Linked DNA regions of Stegostoma tigrinum. The protein of the gene in region 1 purifies or fractionates together with the protein of each later gene. This does not show direct contact. Links are inferred from orthologs where the notes say so. Each region holds a gene or a part of one and is shown in the gene's direction. Other genes may lie near its edges.

Region 1 (8,326 bases):
ACTCATACTCACACTGATACTCACACTCACACTGATACTCACTTACACTGGTACTCACACTGATACTCACACTCACACTGATACTCACACCGATACTCACACTCTCACTGATACTCACACTCACATTGATACTCACTTACACTGATACTCACACTCACACTGATACACACACTGATACTCATACTCACACTGATACTCACACTCACACTGATACTCACTTACACTGGTACTCACACTGATACTCACACTCACACTGATACTCACACCGATACTCACACTCTCACTGATACTCACACACACACTGATACTCACACTCACACTGATACTCACACAGATACACACACACTGATACTCACACTCACACTGATACACACACTCACACTGATACACATACACATACTCACACTCACATTCTCGGACCTGAGGGCACAGCCTTAGAGTAAAGGAAAGACCTTTTAGAATGGAGATAAGGAGAAACTTCTTCACCAGAGAGTGGTGAATCGATGGAATTCATTGCCACAGAAAGCTGTGGAGGGCAGGATATTGAGTACACTTAAGACTGAGATAGATGGGTTCTTGATTATCAAGGGGATCAAGAGTTACGGGGAGAATGCAGGAGAATGAAGTTGAGGAACTTATCAGCCAATATTGAATGGTGGAGCAGGCTCGATGGGCTGAATGGCCTAACTTCTGCTCTTGTGTTCTTAGGTTGTGTCCTGCTAGATAGTTATATGCCTCGGTTTTTAGGAGTGGTTGGAGTTAGTTCCGGAATGAAACCGGGGTGTATAAATCTCAGCGGGACGAAACGCTGACACTACACCAGAGGTACGCTGACGATGCTACCGAGCACGGTGACAAAATATCAAACACAATGGCTCAGCCAGCAGGTCTACACCCTCACCCACCACCTGAGCTACATAATCTTCTCATAGGCTTTCAGCACACAGCTTGAAAGCACAGCAGGACAGCATGGCACTTGATAAATCCCTGTTTCCGGGAATAAAACAAGCCTGACTCCAGATTAAAAGTCTGAAGCAGATTCTGATCAAGGCCTACAATTCAGTGACTCACCTGACAATGTCGCTTTTTTGTACAGTCCTATCTCTCTGCCTGTCTGAAGCTTGGAGCGTTCGATAGACGTTGCTGAAAAAAACATTAGTTATCTCGAGGCAGTAGCTTTAGACAGAATCTGGAATTTGTGTTTTAATCGATCGAAACTTGCATGTCCCTGCTAACAGTGTTGCCCATCTCCTGCTTCTGCAAAACAAACAAATTTCCACCACGCAGGAATGTATGAATGTAAACAGCTTCTGACACATTTTCCCCTCTCCTGTGCTGACAGAATTCCAGACCCAAACTGAAGGCTGCTCTGTTCCTGCAGCCAGTTTAATGTTGTACCATTTATTTACACCGTCCCTCCTCAGTCTAACATCCAAAAAGCATCAGTTCACATCTTTCTGTATTCCATTAACAGGAGACTGAGAGCTGGTAACGTACAAAAAGTGTGAGATGTGTTTCAATCTGCACAGCCAGGATGACAAATGTCAGAGTCAGTTAGTCAGCCATTTTAGGTTTGTTCACGGCAGCCATTTCAAGTTATCACAGCTCTGACATTGACTTTATAACAGGGAGAGGTGGGGACCTGGGGAGCCTGTGTGTGTTTGAGTGATGTGTAGATCCACCAGAGTGATAGCTGGACAGTGAGGTTTCAATGGCAAGGGAGTGAAATGACACAAACTCGGGACTGAATCTCTGAAAGCTCGGTGGATCGGAGATAGTTGAATTTTTCAAGGGAATAATGGAAACTGTTGTGATATGTAGAGAGAAAGGCTTCCTGCTGCTTCTGGACTAGGATCATTGTCTAAAAGTGTAACAATACTCTGACACACTCTCAAAGTTTTGCTCTCGTATTTATTCCATTTATCCACATAAATTTCGAACATACACATTCTCACTCACTCTCTCTGTCATACACAATCTCACTCTCTCTCATACAAATTCTCACTCTCTCATACACAATCTCTCATTCACAATCTCACTCTCACACATTTTCACTGTCTGTCATACACAATCTCACTCTCTCTCTCTCTCTCATACACAATCCCACTATCTCTCTCTCATTCACAATCTCACTCTCACATTTTCACTCTCTGTATAACACAATGTCACTTTCTCTCTCATACACAATCTCACTATCTCTCAGGCATAATCTCACTCACACAATCTCACTATCTCTCAGACATAATCTCACTCACACAATCTCACTATCTCTCAGGCATAATCTCACTCACACAATCTCACTATCTCTCTCAGACATAATCTCACTCATACAATCTCACTATCTCTCTCAGACATAATCTCACTCACACAATCTCACTATCTCTCTCAGACATAATCTCACTCACACAATCTCACTATCTCTCTCAGACATAATCTCACTCACACAATCTCACTATCTCTCTCAGACATAATCTCACTCACACAATCTCACTATCTCAGACACAATCTCACTCTCACACAAAATCACTATCTCTTGCAGACAAAATCTCTCACCCTCACACATAATCTAGATTTCCATCTTGTATCTAAAGGGACCAAGTGATATAGGAGGGGAGGGTGCAGTTAGGCAATTGAACTGAATGATCAGCCTTGATCATATTGAATGATGGAGCAGGATCAAGGGTCCAAATGACCTACTCCCGCTCCTATCCTGTACGTTTCAATGTCATGTCTCCGGGTTCACTGGCATGGGACACAAAGCTGTGGGAGTGATCAAAGGAGCTGGAAACAGAAACTGAAAAGACTGCGAATGCTGAAAATCAGAAACAAAAACAGAAACAGAAACAGAAACAGAAACAGAAAGTGCTGAGAAAGGTCAGCAGGTCTGGCAACATCTGTGGAGAATGCTTCTTCCTCAGAACCGAGGTTATACAGGACAGAGATTGTGAAATTGCAAATGAGACTGAGCTACATGAGAAGTAAGAGCAGGACGAGGCAACTCAGCTCCTTGAACTGATCCACCATTCACAGAACGTAGAACGTTACAGCACAGTACAGGCCCTTCGGCCCAAGATGTTGTGCCGAACATTTACCCAAAACCTAAGGTCTACCTAACCTCCACCCCTACTTTATACTATCATCCATTTGCCTGCCTAATAGCCGCTTAAATGCCCCCAATGAGGCCGACTCCACTACCCTCTCTGGCAATGCATTCCATGCCCCTACCACTCTCTGACTTAAAAAAACTACCTCTGATGTCTCCCCTATATCTACCTCCACTCACTTTAAAACAATGTCCCCTCATAATAGCTACCTCCATCCGAGGAAAACGTCTCTGGCTGTCCACTCTCTCTTTATCTCTGATCATTTTGTACACCTCGATCAAGTCATCTCTAATCCTTTGTTGTTCTGAAGAGAAAAGCCGTAGCTCTCTCAATTTTTCGTTGTAAGACCTTCCCTCCATTCCAGGCAATATCCTGGTAAATCTCCTCGGCACCTTTTCCAATGTTTCCACATCCAATATAATCACCACTGATCTCATGTGAGCCTCAATTCCACCTTCCTACCCACTCTCCATAATGCTTTAACCCATTATTAATTAAAAATCTGTCTGTGCCCTTAAACACTCTCAGCATCCACTGCACACAGGGGTCATGAATTCCACAGATTTATCGCCCTTTGAGAGAAGTTATTCCTCCTCATCCCTGTTTTAAATCATGGAATAGAATCATGCAGTTCAGAAGAGGCCCTCCCTTTGCCCATCAGGTCTGCACTGCCAAAACTGCGATAAATCTGCACGAGTCCCACTTTCCAGCCCCAGGCCCACAGCTTTGGACATCATGACATTTCAAGTGCTCATCCAAGTCATCTTTAAAGGTTATGACATTACCCAGCACTACCACCCACCCTGGCAGTTCATTCCGGATGCCCACAAGTCTCTGGATGTAAAACATTTTTCTCAAATATCCTCTAAACCTCATGCCTTCCAGCAGAAGACTGTGACCCCAGGTTAGTGACCTTTTAATTCAAACTGCTTCCTATCCACAGGTAAAGGGGTGTCTCTCTCTCTCTCTCTGGGTCCTTTCAGGAGGTATTAAAGGATCAGGGACAATAACGGTGTTTCTCTCTCAGGCCTTTCAGCGGGTATTAAAGGATCAGGGACAATAATGGTGTGTCTCTCTCGGACCTTTCGGGGAGGTATTAAAGGATTAGGGACAATAACAGTGTGTCTCTCTTGGGACTTCTGGGGATATTAAAGGATCAGGGACAATAACAGAGAGTCTCTCTCAGGAATACTGAGGATTTGACCGGGCCCGGGGTCATGGCCTTTCCTTCCCCAGTGGTTGCCCGTGACCCCAGATGGTTTTGTACGGCCTGCAGACGATGCTATGGTCACCGTGAGCCAGGATGGGTCGGGTTATGTTAAAGACAGCGAACATATCTCTGGTCAGTGGTGAGATTTGCTGCATCACCTCACCCTGTGTGCTCCCCCCGAAAACTGAAACCGGGTTTGGAAATAAACTCCATAAGGCGTAGGAGCAGAAATTAGGCCATTCGGCCCATGGGGTCTGCTCCGTCACCCTCAGCAATGCCACCTTTAACCGGGGCGGTGGGGGGTGGGGTGAGGCGTCTGTGTGTGTGGAGGATGGGGAGGAAGGAAATAAAAATTCACAGGATTGAGGCGAAATGCCCGCATTTCAAATCCTTTCTCAGTGGGTGGGCTAAGATAATAAAATGTGAGGCTGGATGAACACAGCAGGCCAAGCAGCTCCTGAGATGCTGCTGGGCCTGCTGTGTACATCCAGCCTCACATTTTACTATCTTGGATTCTCCAGCATCTGCAGTTCCCATTATCTCAGTGGGTGGGCTGCCCCTTTAATAGGGGCACATCGATGCGGTCGGCGATCGACGCACCGCACCTGGAGGACTGCGCGATCGATGCGACCGGAGGTCGGCGCAGCCCCCTGGAGGACTCCGGCCCGGTGGCGCGCTGAAGATGGGGATCCAGGGCTTAGCGAAACTGCTCGGGGACGTGGCCCCGGGAGCCGTCAGGGAGCAGCAAATGAAACATTATTTCGGTGAATGCACAGCCCCCGGCCCCCACCCCCAGGGGGAGGGTGCAATATGTGTGTCCGGCCATGTGGTTCCTGCACCCGGCCCTGGATGGAGGGAAACTGGGCACTGGGCACTGGGCACTGGGCAGGGTGGGGGAGGGTGGGCACGGGGCAGGAGGGTTGGCACTGGGCAGGAGGGGAGGGTGTGCATTGGGTGGGATGTGCACTGGGTGGGAGGGGAGGGTGTGCATTGGGTCGGATGTGCATTGGGCAGGAGGGGAGGGTGGGCACTGGGCAGGTGGTGCACTGGGCAGGAGGGGAGGGTGTGTATTGGGCAGGAGGGGAGGGTGGGCACTGGGCAGGTGGTGCACTGGGCAGGAGGGGAGGGTGTGTATTGGGCAGGAGGTGCACTGGGCAGGAGGGGAGGGTGGGCATTGGGTGGGATGTGCATTGGGCAGGATGGGAGGGTGGGCATGGCGTAGGTGGGCACGGTGTAGGAGGGCAGGGTATGCTCTGGCCAGGAGGTGCACTGGGCAGGAGGGCAGGGTATGCTCTGGCCAGGACGTGCACTGGGCAGGAGGGGAGGGTGGGCATTGGGTGGGATGTGCACTGGGCAGGAGGGGTGGGTGGGCACTCTGCAGGAGGGCAGGGTATGCTCTGGCCAGGAGGTGCACTGGGCAGGAGGAGAGGGTGTGCACTGGGCAGGAGGGGAGGGTGGGATGTGCATTGAGTAGGACGGGAGAGTGTTCACCGGACATTGGTCAGGAGGGGAGGGTGTGCGTTGGGCAGGAGGGGAGGCTGTGCATTGGGCAGGATGTGCACTGGGCAGGAGGGGAGGCTGTGCATTGGGCAGGAGGGGAGGCTGTGCATTGGGCAAGATGTGCATTGGGCAGGAGGAGAGGGTGTGCATTGGGCAGGATGGGAGGGTGTGCATTGGGCAGGATGTGCACTGGGCAGGAGGAGAGGGTGTGCACTGGCATTGGGCAGGAGAGGAGGGGGCGCGCCGGGCAGGAGGGGAGGGGGCGCGCCGGGCAGGAGGGGAGGGGGCGCGCCGGGCAGGAGGGGAGGGGGCGCGCCGGGCAGGTGGGGAGGGTGTGCACTGGGCAGGATGTGCATTGGGCAGGAAGGGAGGGCGCGCGTTGGGCCCACCGTGCCTCGCACACCGTCTCGCTGCCTGCTCGTGTCCCTTGCCATCCCAGCCTTTCCCTGTAAGCTCCCGCTGCCAGCTCTCTGTGTGAGTCTCCCCGCGCTCCCTCAGTGTCCCAGTGGCCATCTTTCTGAGGGTCACAGACAGGGGGCTAACAGCCGATGTCTTGCTCCCCCAGTGTCCAGGAGCCCACCACCAGAGGGCATTGGTTTAAGGTGAGGGGCGGGCTTGGGATGGGGCCCCTGGGGAGAATGGAAAGGGACCTGAGGGGGGTAACTATCTCACACAGAGGGTGGTGCGTGTGGGGGAAGGAGCTGCCGGAGGAAGGGGGTGGGGGCCGGTACAGTTACAGCATCGGGATGGGGACGTGGGTAGGGAGGGTTCAGAGGGACAGGGGGCTGAATGCTGGCAAATGGGACTAGGATACATGGTCAGCATGGATGAGTTAGGCTGAAGGGCCTCTTTTGGTGCTGTGCAACTCAAAGTCACCCCCTGCCCCGTCCCACCAAGTACTTGGATTTGAACCAGACCCTGATGAGCACTGGAGCTTGTTATTACAAAGTACCCCGTTCTCTCGTATCCTTCAGGGGCTGCAATCCGACCGGGAAATGTGCCGACGCTCAGAGAATTGTGGTTGGCCGTTAATTTGTTTTACACGAGCGCGCTCACTCGGTCTGCCGCGCTTCCTTTTCCCAGTTCCGGCAATACTCCTGGTGCGTCGTCCCGATCCGAAACCAACGTCTTCGCTGTTTCCTGCTGGCAGCTTGTGTCGGCCGGAGACCTCCCTGTCTCTGCCAGCTTTCCGCAGCTCTCCTGCCTTTTCCCCCTGCCCCCACCGCGCTGCGCGCATGCATCGTACTCCTCTCCGTTTGCTCGCCTTTTTGATCTCTTACTTAGCCTTTTGTTGGGTGGGGGGGGGGGTTGCGACCCTTTGGAAATGAGACCAGAGCGTGGAAGGGTCGGCGGGGGGAGGGTGACGGGCAACTGAGCATCTTTGTCCCACCAGCCTGGAGCCATCTGCAAATCGGCCAACTCTACATTCGCTTCCTTACCCCTCCCAACACGCCTGAACCCGTCAAGAGGGAGCGAGGGGTTGGGATGGCCTCCTGGACATCCTGCCTGTCCCCTCCTGACCCAAAGCTGCTCACCCATGCCCTTTCTCCATCTCTTCCTCCAACAAATACCACCCCCCCCCGCCCAAAAACCCCACTGCAGGACGCAAAATCGCCATCGATGCTTCGATGAGTATCTACCAGTTTCTGATTGCGGTCCGGCAGGATGGGAACGTGCTGCAGAACGAAGCTGGTGAGACCACCAGGTAACAGGGGGGCGCTGGGCGAGGGTGGGGGGAATGGAGAGAGACGCCTGGGTGCACGCAGAGGTGAGAGTCGCTGTCGCGGCCCACCATTGATCGCCCCGTCCCTGGTTTCGCCCCCGTCCCCGAGAAGGTTGGGGGTGAGCTGCTTCCTTGAGCTGCTGCGGTCCATTTGCTGTGGGGTCGACCCACAGTGTTCCTCAGGGGAGGGAATTCCGGGAATTCCAGGGATTCGGACCCAGCTGCACTGAAGGAACGGCCAGTCGGCGCCGCGACCCTCGGGCAGCGGCCCGCTCCCTCGGCGCCGACCCTCAGGCAGCGGCCCGCTACCTGGGCGCCGACCCTCGGGCAGCGGCCCGCTCCCTCAGTCCGTGAGAGTTTGGGGTTTTATTGGCTGTGAGATTTTGGGTGGGTGTGCCGTAGCCAGTCAAACACCTTCTGCAAACTCTGCCTTTCCCACCTCTGTTCTCCTCAGCCATCTGATGGGAATGTTTTATCGGACAATCCGGATGGTTGAGAATGGGATTAAACCCGTCTACGTCTTCGATGGGAAGCCACCCGACCTCAAATCTGCAGAGGTACATCAGTGTGTGACCCTGTGTGCGATCGGGGAGGGAGGGAGGGAGTGACCCTGTGTGCGATTGGGGAGGGAGGGAGTGACCCTGTGAGCGATCGGGGAGGGAGTGACCCTGTGCGCGATCGGGGAGGGAGGGAGGGAGTGACCCTGTGCGCGATCGGGGAGGGAGGGAGTGACCCTGAGCGCGATCGGGGAGGGAGGGAGGGAGTGACCCTGTGCGCGATCGAGGAGGG
Region 2 (8,616 bases), on another chromosome or scaffold:
AATGTGGATTTCACCAGCTTCAAAATCTCCCCTCCCCCACTGTGTCCCAAAACCAGCCCAGCTCGTCCCTGCCTCCCTAAAGTGTTCTTCCTCTCACCTATCCGCTCCTCCCACCTCAAGCCGCACCCCCATCTCTTACCTACTAATTGAGAGTGGTAGGGGCGTGGAATGCGTTGCTGGAGAGGGTCGGAGTCGGCGTCATTATGGGCATTTAAGCAACTATTAGAAAGGCATATAGATGATAGTATAAGGTAGCAGTGGAGGTTACATAGATCTTAGGTTCAGGGTAAAAGTTCAGCACAATATTGTGGGCAAAAGGGCCTGTATTATGCTGTACTGTTCTATGTTCTATAAAGTCAATAAGGGCATGAACAAGGAGAATAGCCAATGTTTTTTTCCCCAGGGCGGGGGGAGTCCAAAACACTACAGCATAGGTTTAACTTGAGAGGGAAGAGTTATAAAAAGGATCTCAGGAACAGCTATTTCACACAGAGGGTGATGCATCTATGGAATGAGGTGCCAGAGGAAGTAGTGGAGGCTGGTACAATTGTAATAGTTAAAAAGTATCTAGATGGGTACATGAATAGTAAGGGTTTAGAGGCTTCTGGGCAAAATGCTGGTAAATGGGACTAGATTAATATTGGATATTTGGTCAGCCTGAATGAGTTGGACTGAGGGGTTTGTTTCCATGCTGTACAAATGTATAACTCTACTCAATGCTTTATTAACAGCTGTCTCTACCTGTCCTGGTATCTTTGATGACTTATGTGCCTATTCATTCAGGTTTCTCTGCTCCTGCACACCTTTCAGAACACATACACTTCAGAATATCCTGTCATTTGGTGTCCTTTGTATCAAAATATATCACCTTGTGCTTTTCCACACAGAACTTCATCTATCAAGTATCTATCCGTTCCACCCAACTTGTCTACTGCCTTTTGTCTTTTACATTGTCCTCCTATTGGCTTAACATTCTTCCATGGTTTGTGTCATTTATTAACTTTGAAATTGTACCCTGAACACCTAGATCTAGATTATTTATATGTATCAAGATCAGAATAGGACCCAATTGTTGTTTAAGAAACAGGCATATAATAACCCAGGACTGCATACCAGTCAGCATGACATCAGTGGTAGGTAAACTGATGGAGGCCGTAATATGGGATAAAGTAAATACACGCTTAGAGTAAAATAAGCTAATACTAGGCAATCAACATGGCTTTGTCAAAGGCAGATCATGTCTGACAAATTTAGTTAACTTCTTTGACAGGGTAACACAGGCAGAGGATAAGGGTAGTTTTGTTAATGCTGTATATTTAGACTTTTATATTTAGATCATTGGGTACATGATGGTAGGGATTCAAAGTTGTTTAAAAGATAGGAAAAAGAGGGTATGAATAGATAGGCATTTTTCAGATCAGAGACATGTTAAAAATGGTGATCACCGGGAACTGGTGTTGGAACCCTTGCTTTTTCTGATTTATATTTATGATTTGAAGATAGATGTTGAGGGAAAATCTTTAAATTTGCAAATCATTATAAGCTAGGGTGAATAATGAATTGTGAGGATGATGCTGAGTGACTAAGATAAGTGTAGAAGCAGGCCATTCAGCCCTTCGAGACAATGGCCCTCCGAAAAGCATTCCATCTAGACCCACCCCCATATCCTATCTGTGTGACCCTGCATTTAGCATGGAAACTGCACCTAGCCTGCAAATCTTTGGACTGTGGGAGGAAACCGGAGCACATCCATGTAGACATGGGAGAATGTGCCAACTCCATACAGTCGCCCAGTGCTGGAATTGAAACCACGTCCATGGCACAGTGAGACAGCAGTGCTAACCAATGAGCTGCCGTGTCACCCCTGAGGGATGCTGACAAGTTGGCCAAATGGGCTCACACTTAGCAGATGTATTTCATTGGAGAGAAATGTCAAGTAATGCATTTTGGTAGAAAAAAAAATTGACAATACAGGCTCAATGATACAACTCTGAGGGAATACAGGAGCAGACAGACTTCGGGGTTCACAAAATTCTCTGAAGGTGGCCAGGTAAGTTGAAATCATTGTTAAGAAAATTTATAGGATCCTTGGGTTTATAAAAAGACGCGTAGTCAAACCGACTGCTGTGGCCAACATGGAGATATCCTGACAGGGTTTTCAAAGATAGTAGGAACTGCAGATGTAGGAGAATCTGAGATAACAAGTGTAGAGCTGGATGAACACAGCAGGCCAAGTAGCATCAGAGGAGCAGGAAGGTTGATGTTTCCGGCCTAGTACCTTTTCGAAAATGAAGAAGTGTCTAGGCCTGAAACGTCAACCTTCCTGCTCCTCTGATGCTGCTTGGCCTGCTGTGTTCATCCAGCTCTACACCTAGTTATCTCAGGGTTTTCAAATACATCCTAATGAGGGTTAGCAAGAAGGGCAGCTTGGAATACAAGGGCATTGTGAGGGGCACCAATAATATTTGTGAAAAATTGGTCCCTGAAATAGAAGAGCTGGAGCTGGAATACAAATGCCTGGGGGATGGAAACATTGATCACAACAAAATGGAGAAAAAAAGATTTCAGTGCTTGGCATTTCCATTGATTTTGGGAAAATAGATTACATCATCTCTGTGGAAAAACTGAAATCCGTGTACAAGGAATATGGAATTATGTAGTCAGGCAATACCAAGTAAAATCATCGTGTGGAATCTTATTTATCAGCAGAATTGTTATTTAACTGCATACACTTTGTGTTATTGATTTCAATGTTTCCAGATGTGAGTTGTTTACTTATGGTATCAGTTGAACTATGGTAACACTAAAAGACTTTGTGTACTATGATATTAAACAATATCAACATAGAATGTACTTTTGAGATACTTTGCCCAATAAATCATATTTTGAAAAAAAAACAAGGAGGTGATGCTACACCTCCACAAATTATTGGTAAGACCACATTTAAAATTGTGTTCAGTTCTGGATACCTTATTTAAAGAAGGATGTTAAAGTCATGCTGTGGACGTGCCGGTGTTGGACCGGAGTGGACAAAATCAGAAATCACATGACACCAAGTTATAGTCCAACATGTTTATTTGAAAACAGAGCACTGCTTATTCATCTGGTGAGAGTTCAAAGGAGGTTTATTACAATGGTAATACGAATGAGGGATTTTAGATATTAGAAAAAAATAGAGAAATTGGGCTTATTCTCCTTGGAGCAGAGATTAAGAGGTGACCTTACTGAGGTGTTCAAAATTATGAACAATTTTGACAGGGTAAAGAAGGATATTCTATTTCTACTACTTGATATGTCAGTAACTAGTGGTTACAATTTTAAGATTGTCAGTAAGCCAGGTAGGAGTGAAATGAGGAAAAACGTCTTTACTCAGCGAGTTGTCAGCATTTGGAATGTGCTACCTGGTAGTGCAGCGTAGGTGGATTTGATAGGAGGTTTCAAAAGAGAGATGGGTCTACACATAAAAGTGATGAATTTAGAAGGTTACATGGATAGGGCCCGGAAAATGGGACCAGTTGGGTGGCTCTTTCAAAATGTGGTTCAAACACAATGGATTAAATGGTCTCCTTTTATAGTGTTAAATTCTATGATTATAATGCTCAGCCCCCAAAACCTCTATTACAAGCTGTCCTCCAGCCCATGAAATACCCACTGGCTATTAATCACTGTTTCCTAGCCCTCAACAAATTTCATATCCAGTACCGATGAATGTTCCATAAATGATCTGGAGGAAGGTACAGATGGCCTGATTAGCAAGTTTGCAGATGACACTAAGATTGGCGGTGTAGCAGATAGTGAAGGGGGCTGTCAGAATATGCGGCACAATATAGATAGCTTGGACGTTAGATGGAGAAATGGCTGATGGAGTTCAATCCAGGCAAATCCGAGGTGTTGCATTCTGGAAGATCCAATTCAAGAGTGAACTATACGGTAAATGGAAAAGTCCTGGGGAAAATTGATGCAAAGAGAGATTTGGGTGTTCACGTCCATTGTACCCTGAAGATGACAATGCAGGTCGATAGAGTGATCAAGAAGGCATACGGCATGCTTTCATTCATCGGACGGGGTATTGAGTTGGCAGGTCATGTTACAGTTGTCTCGGACTTTGGTTCGACCACATTTGGAATACTGTGTACAGTTCTGTTCATCACATTACCAAAAGGATAGAACATAGAACATAGAACACAGAACACTACAGCACAGTACAGGCCCTTCGGCCCTCAATGTTGTACCGACATGTCATACCGATCTCAAGCCCATCTAACCTACACTATTCCATGTACATCCATATGCTTATCCAATGAAGACTTAAATGTACCTAAAGTTGGCGAATCTACTACCGTTGCAGGCAAAGTGTTCCATTCCCTTACTACTCTCTGAGTAAAGAAACCACCTCTGGCATCTGTCCTATATCTTTCACCCCTCAATTTAAAGCTATGCCCCCTCGTGCTCGCCGTCACCATCCTAGGAAAAAGGCACTCCCTATCCACCCTATCTAACCCTCTAATTATTTTATATGTTTCAATTAAGTCACCTCTCAACCTTCTTCTCTCTAGTGAAAACAGCCTCAAGTCCCTCAGCCTTTCCTCGTAAGACCTTCCCTCCGTACCAGCCAACATCCTAGTAAATCTCCTCTGCACCCTTTCCAAAGCTTCCACATCCTTCTTATAATGCGGTGACCAGAACTGTACGCAATACTCCAAGTGTGGCCGCACCAGAGTTTTGTACAGCTGCAGCATAACCTCTTGGTTCCGGAACTCGATTCCTCTATTAATGAAAGCTAAAACACTGTATGCCTTCTTAACAGCCCTGGATGTGGATGCTTTGGAGAGGGTGCAGAGGAGGTTCACCAGGATGTTGCGTGGTATGGAGGGCGCTAGCTATGAAGAGAGGTTGAGTAGATTAGGATTGTTTACGTTAGAAAGATGGAGTTTGAGGGGGACCTGATCAAGGTCTACAAAATCATGAGAGGTATAGATAGCAAGAAACTTTTTCCCAGTGTGGGGAATTCAATTTCTAGGGGTCATGATTTCAAGGTGAGAGGGGGAAAAGTTTAAGGGCGCTATGTCTGGAAAGTTCTTTATGCAGAGGGTGGTGGGTGCCTGGACCGTGTTGCCAGTGGAGGTGGTAGAGGCGAACACAATAATGTCTTTTAAGATGTATCTAGACAGATACATGAATGGGCAGGGAGTAGAGGGATAGGTGAAAAATAGGTGACAGGTTTAGACAGAGGATCTGGGATCGGCAAAAGCTTGGAGGGCCGAAGGGCCTGTTCTTGTGCTGTAATTTTCTTTGTTCTTTTTTTGTATGACTACACTGGAGAGGTTACAGAGGAGATTCACCAGGATATTGCCTGCAATGAAAAGTATCAGTTCTGAAGGACAGGTTGAGTTTGTTTTATTTAGGGTACAGGAGGCTGAGTTTGTTTTATTTAGGGTACAGGAGGCTGATGGAGTTGCACAGATTTAAGAGAGTTGTTAGAAGACATAAACGATCCCTGGAGGAGGGTCATTTTGACAGCAGCAACAGGTTGTGTTTGATAGTTTGGCGGGCGCGGCGCCAAAGGAGGGAATTGAACAGACAAAGCTGAAGGACAGCCCGAGCGTTGCACAGGCACAACGGGCTGAATGGCCTCCTACGGTTTCAATGGTGATTGAATGGTTTAGTTGGCTGTAAGTGCCGAAGATTTATTCATCAATTCAAACCTGTTGTATCTGTCTGCTGCCTGGAGCTGAGACTCCGCGGAAGCAGCTGCGGCCTAACCGTGACTGAAGCCTGGGCCTGGAGTTTTACCGATCGTGGGCGCAATGCCTCAGCCCAGGCCTGAGGCGGGAGCCGAACGGTTTGTTCTCGTCGCCAGTTTAGAAAATGTGCGGAATCTGTCAAATCTGCTTAAAGCCGTTAATTTCCGAGACCAGGCGACGGTGTTCGCCTCCGCTAACGGCATCAGGGTGACAGCTGAGGCCGCCAAGAGCGTCCAGGGGAACGCGTTCATCCAGGTACCGGGGGGGTGGGAGGTGTGAGAGTTCATCGGGCGGGTGTCGGGGGTGGGGTGTGAAGGATTGGGAGGAGGGTGTGAGGGATTCAGGGGTGTCAGTGGGGTGGTGTCAGGGGAGGGTGTGAAGGATTTGGGGTGTCGGTGTGAGGGATTTGGGGGGTCAGTGTGAGGGGGAGTGTCAGGGGAGGGTGTGAGGGATTGGGGGGGTGTCAGGGGAGGGTGTGAGGGATTGGGGGGGTCAGTGTGAGGGGGATGTCAGGGGAGAGCGTGAGGGGGGGTGTCAGGGGAGGTTGTGAGGGATTTGGGGGGGTGTCAGTGTGAGGGGTTGTCAGGGGAGGGCGTGAAGGATTGAAGGGGGACTGGGAGGTGGGGGGGTCAGTGTGAGGGGAGGTGGGGGGGTCAGTGTGAGGGGAGGTGGGGGGGTCAGTGTGAGGGGGGTTGGGGGGGTCAGTGTGAGGGGTGGTGCCAGGGGAGGGTGTGAGGGATTGGGGGGGTCAGTGTGAGGGGTGGTGCCGGGGTAGGGTGTGAGGGATTGGGAGGGTCAGTGTGAGGGGTGGTGCCGGGGTAGGGTGTGAGGGATTGGGAGGGTCAGTGTGAGGGGTGGTGCCGGGGTAGGGTGTGAGGGATTGGGAGGGTCAGTGTGAGGGGTGGTGCCGGGGGAGGGTGTGAGGGATTGGGAGGGTCAGTGTGAGGGGTGGTGCCGGGGGAGGGTGTGAGGGATTGGGAGGGTCAGTGTGAGGGGTGGTGCCGGGGGAGGGTGTGAGGGATTGGGAGGGTCAGTGTGAGGGGTGGTGCCGGGGGAGGGTGTGAGGGATTGGGAGGGTCAGTGTGAGGGGTGGTGCCGGGGGAGGGTGTGAGGGATTGGGAGGGTCAGTGTGAGGGGTGGTGCCGGGGGAGGGTGTGAGGGATTGGGAGGGTCAGTGTGAGGGGTGGTGCCGGGGGAGGGTGTGAGGGATTGGGAGGGTCAGTGTGAGGGGTGGTGCCGGGGGAGGGTGTGAGGGATTGGGAGGGTCAGTGTGAGGGGTGGTGCCGGGGGAGGGTGTGAGGGATTGGGAGGGTCAGTGTGAGGGGTGGTGCCGGGGGAGGGTGTGAGGGATTGGGAGGGTCAGTGTGAGGGGTGGTGCCGGGGGAGGGTGTGAGGGATTGGGAGGGTCAGTGTGAGGGGTGGTGCCGGGGGAGGGTGTGAGGGATTGGGAGGGTCAGTGTGAGGGGTGGTGCCGGGGGAGGGTGTGAGGGATTGGGAGGGTCGGTGTGAGGGATTGGGAGGGTCAGTGTGAGGGGTGGCGCCGGGGGAGGGTGTGAGGGATTGAGGGGAGATTGGGAGGTGGGAGGTGGGAACGGTGTGAGGCGGTTGTGGGGGTCACTGTGAGCGGTGGTGTCGGGGAGGGTATGAGGGATTGAGAGGGGTATTGGGAGGTGGGGGGGTTCACTGTGAGGGGTGGTGCCAGGGGAGGGTGTGAGGGAGGTTTGGTGGCGGGTGGGGTAGTGTGGGAATATCTGGGTGGGGGGCAGGTGTGAGAATTCATCGGGGATGGTGTTACGGAGGATATGAGGGGGGGATCGGGAAAGGGAGTGTGCGTGGGGAATTGGGGTTGTGGGAGAGGATCCAGGGTGGAGGATACAGTGCAGGGTAGTTGGGGAAGGAGAATTCTGGAGTTTAGGGGCCATGGGACGATACTGGGGGAGGAGGTAAAAATGCCAAGGGCTTTGGACAGAGGAAGGGGGAAAGAGCAGATACCGGGCCCTGGGAGAGGGAAGGAAAGGAGTTGTGGCAAGTTTGGGGCTGAGTCTGGAGTCTGAAAAGAGATACTGTGGAATTTTTTGTAGTTGTATAGGAATGACTTGGATGTGGGAAGTGATTGTATTATCAACAAGATTTTGGATGATACAAAAAAGAATTTGGAAAGTTAAGAGGTGAGGATAACCAAAGAGTCTACAGAGGAACCGTCAGCGGAAAATTGAGAAATTTGTACCGAGATCTCAGTTATCAGTAAGAATAATAGGGGTGTAACTGTAAAGCAATTTAACTTTCCAGACATAAATTGTGACTGCCATGTTAAGGGCTTGGACAGAGAGGAATTTGTAAAGTGTACACAAGAAAGTTTTCTTATTTGGTATGTGGATGTACCTACTAGAGAAAAGGCAAATGTGTCTTTCTCCTGGAAAATAAGGCAGGGCAAGTGTCTGCGGTATCAATGGGGGAGCAGTTTGGACCGAGTGATTATAATTCTATTCATTTTAAAACAGTCGTGGAAAAGCTTGGACCTGATCTAAATGTTAAAGAACTAAATTGGAGTAAGTCTGATTAAGCAAGAAGTATCAACAGTTAATTGGGGGATGTTGGGGGTTGGGTATTCACAGGAAAATGGATGTCTGGAAAGTGGGAAACCTTCAAAAAATACGGTAGTGTGAAGGGCAACGCTGGTAAGTGAGGAATTGCTGGATGACCATAGAGTTGAGGCCCAGAAAGAAGAAATTATTTATCAAATATAGACAGCAGGGATCGAGTGAATCCTTGTAAGAGTATAAGGGTAATAGGAGTATTCTCGAGGGAAATCAGGATGGGAAGAAAGGAGACATGGTAGGACTAAGAAGAATCCAAAGGGACTCTACAAATA

The links.
Region 2: the proteins of fen1 (region 1) and rad1 purify together in Homo sapiens (affinity purification with western blotting; 3 studies listed by BioGRID). This does not show direct contact. The link is inferred for Stegostoma tigrinum from reciprocal best matches to the Homo sapiens genes FEN1 and RAD1.

What each region holds. Positions count from the first base shown.
Region 1 is NC_081396.1:649,819-658,144, forward strand, and holds the start of fen1 (flap endonuclease 1), read left to right. Parts: upstream 1-4,937; 5' UTR 4,938-4,996; coding exon 4,997-5,078; intron 5,079-7,416; coding exon 7,417-7,519; intron 7,520-7,991; coding exon 7,992-8,094; intron 8,095-8,326. UniProt on the Homo sapiens protein: Structure-specific nuclease with 5'-flap endonuclease and 5'-3' exonuclease activities involved in DNA replication and repair.
Region 2 is NC_081369.1:67,980,327-67,988,942, forward strand, and holds the start of rad1 (cell cycle checkpoint protein RAD1), read left to right. Parts: upstream 1-5,206; 5' UTR 5,207-5,807; coding exon 5,808-5,999; intron 6,000-8,616. UniProt on the Homo sapiens protein: Component of the 9-1-1 cell-cycle checkpoint response complex that plays a major role in DNA repair. The 9-1-1 complex is recruited to DNA lesion upon damage by the RAD17-replication factor C (RFC) clamp loader complex.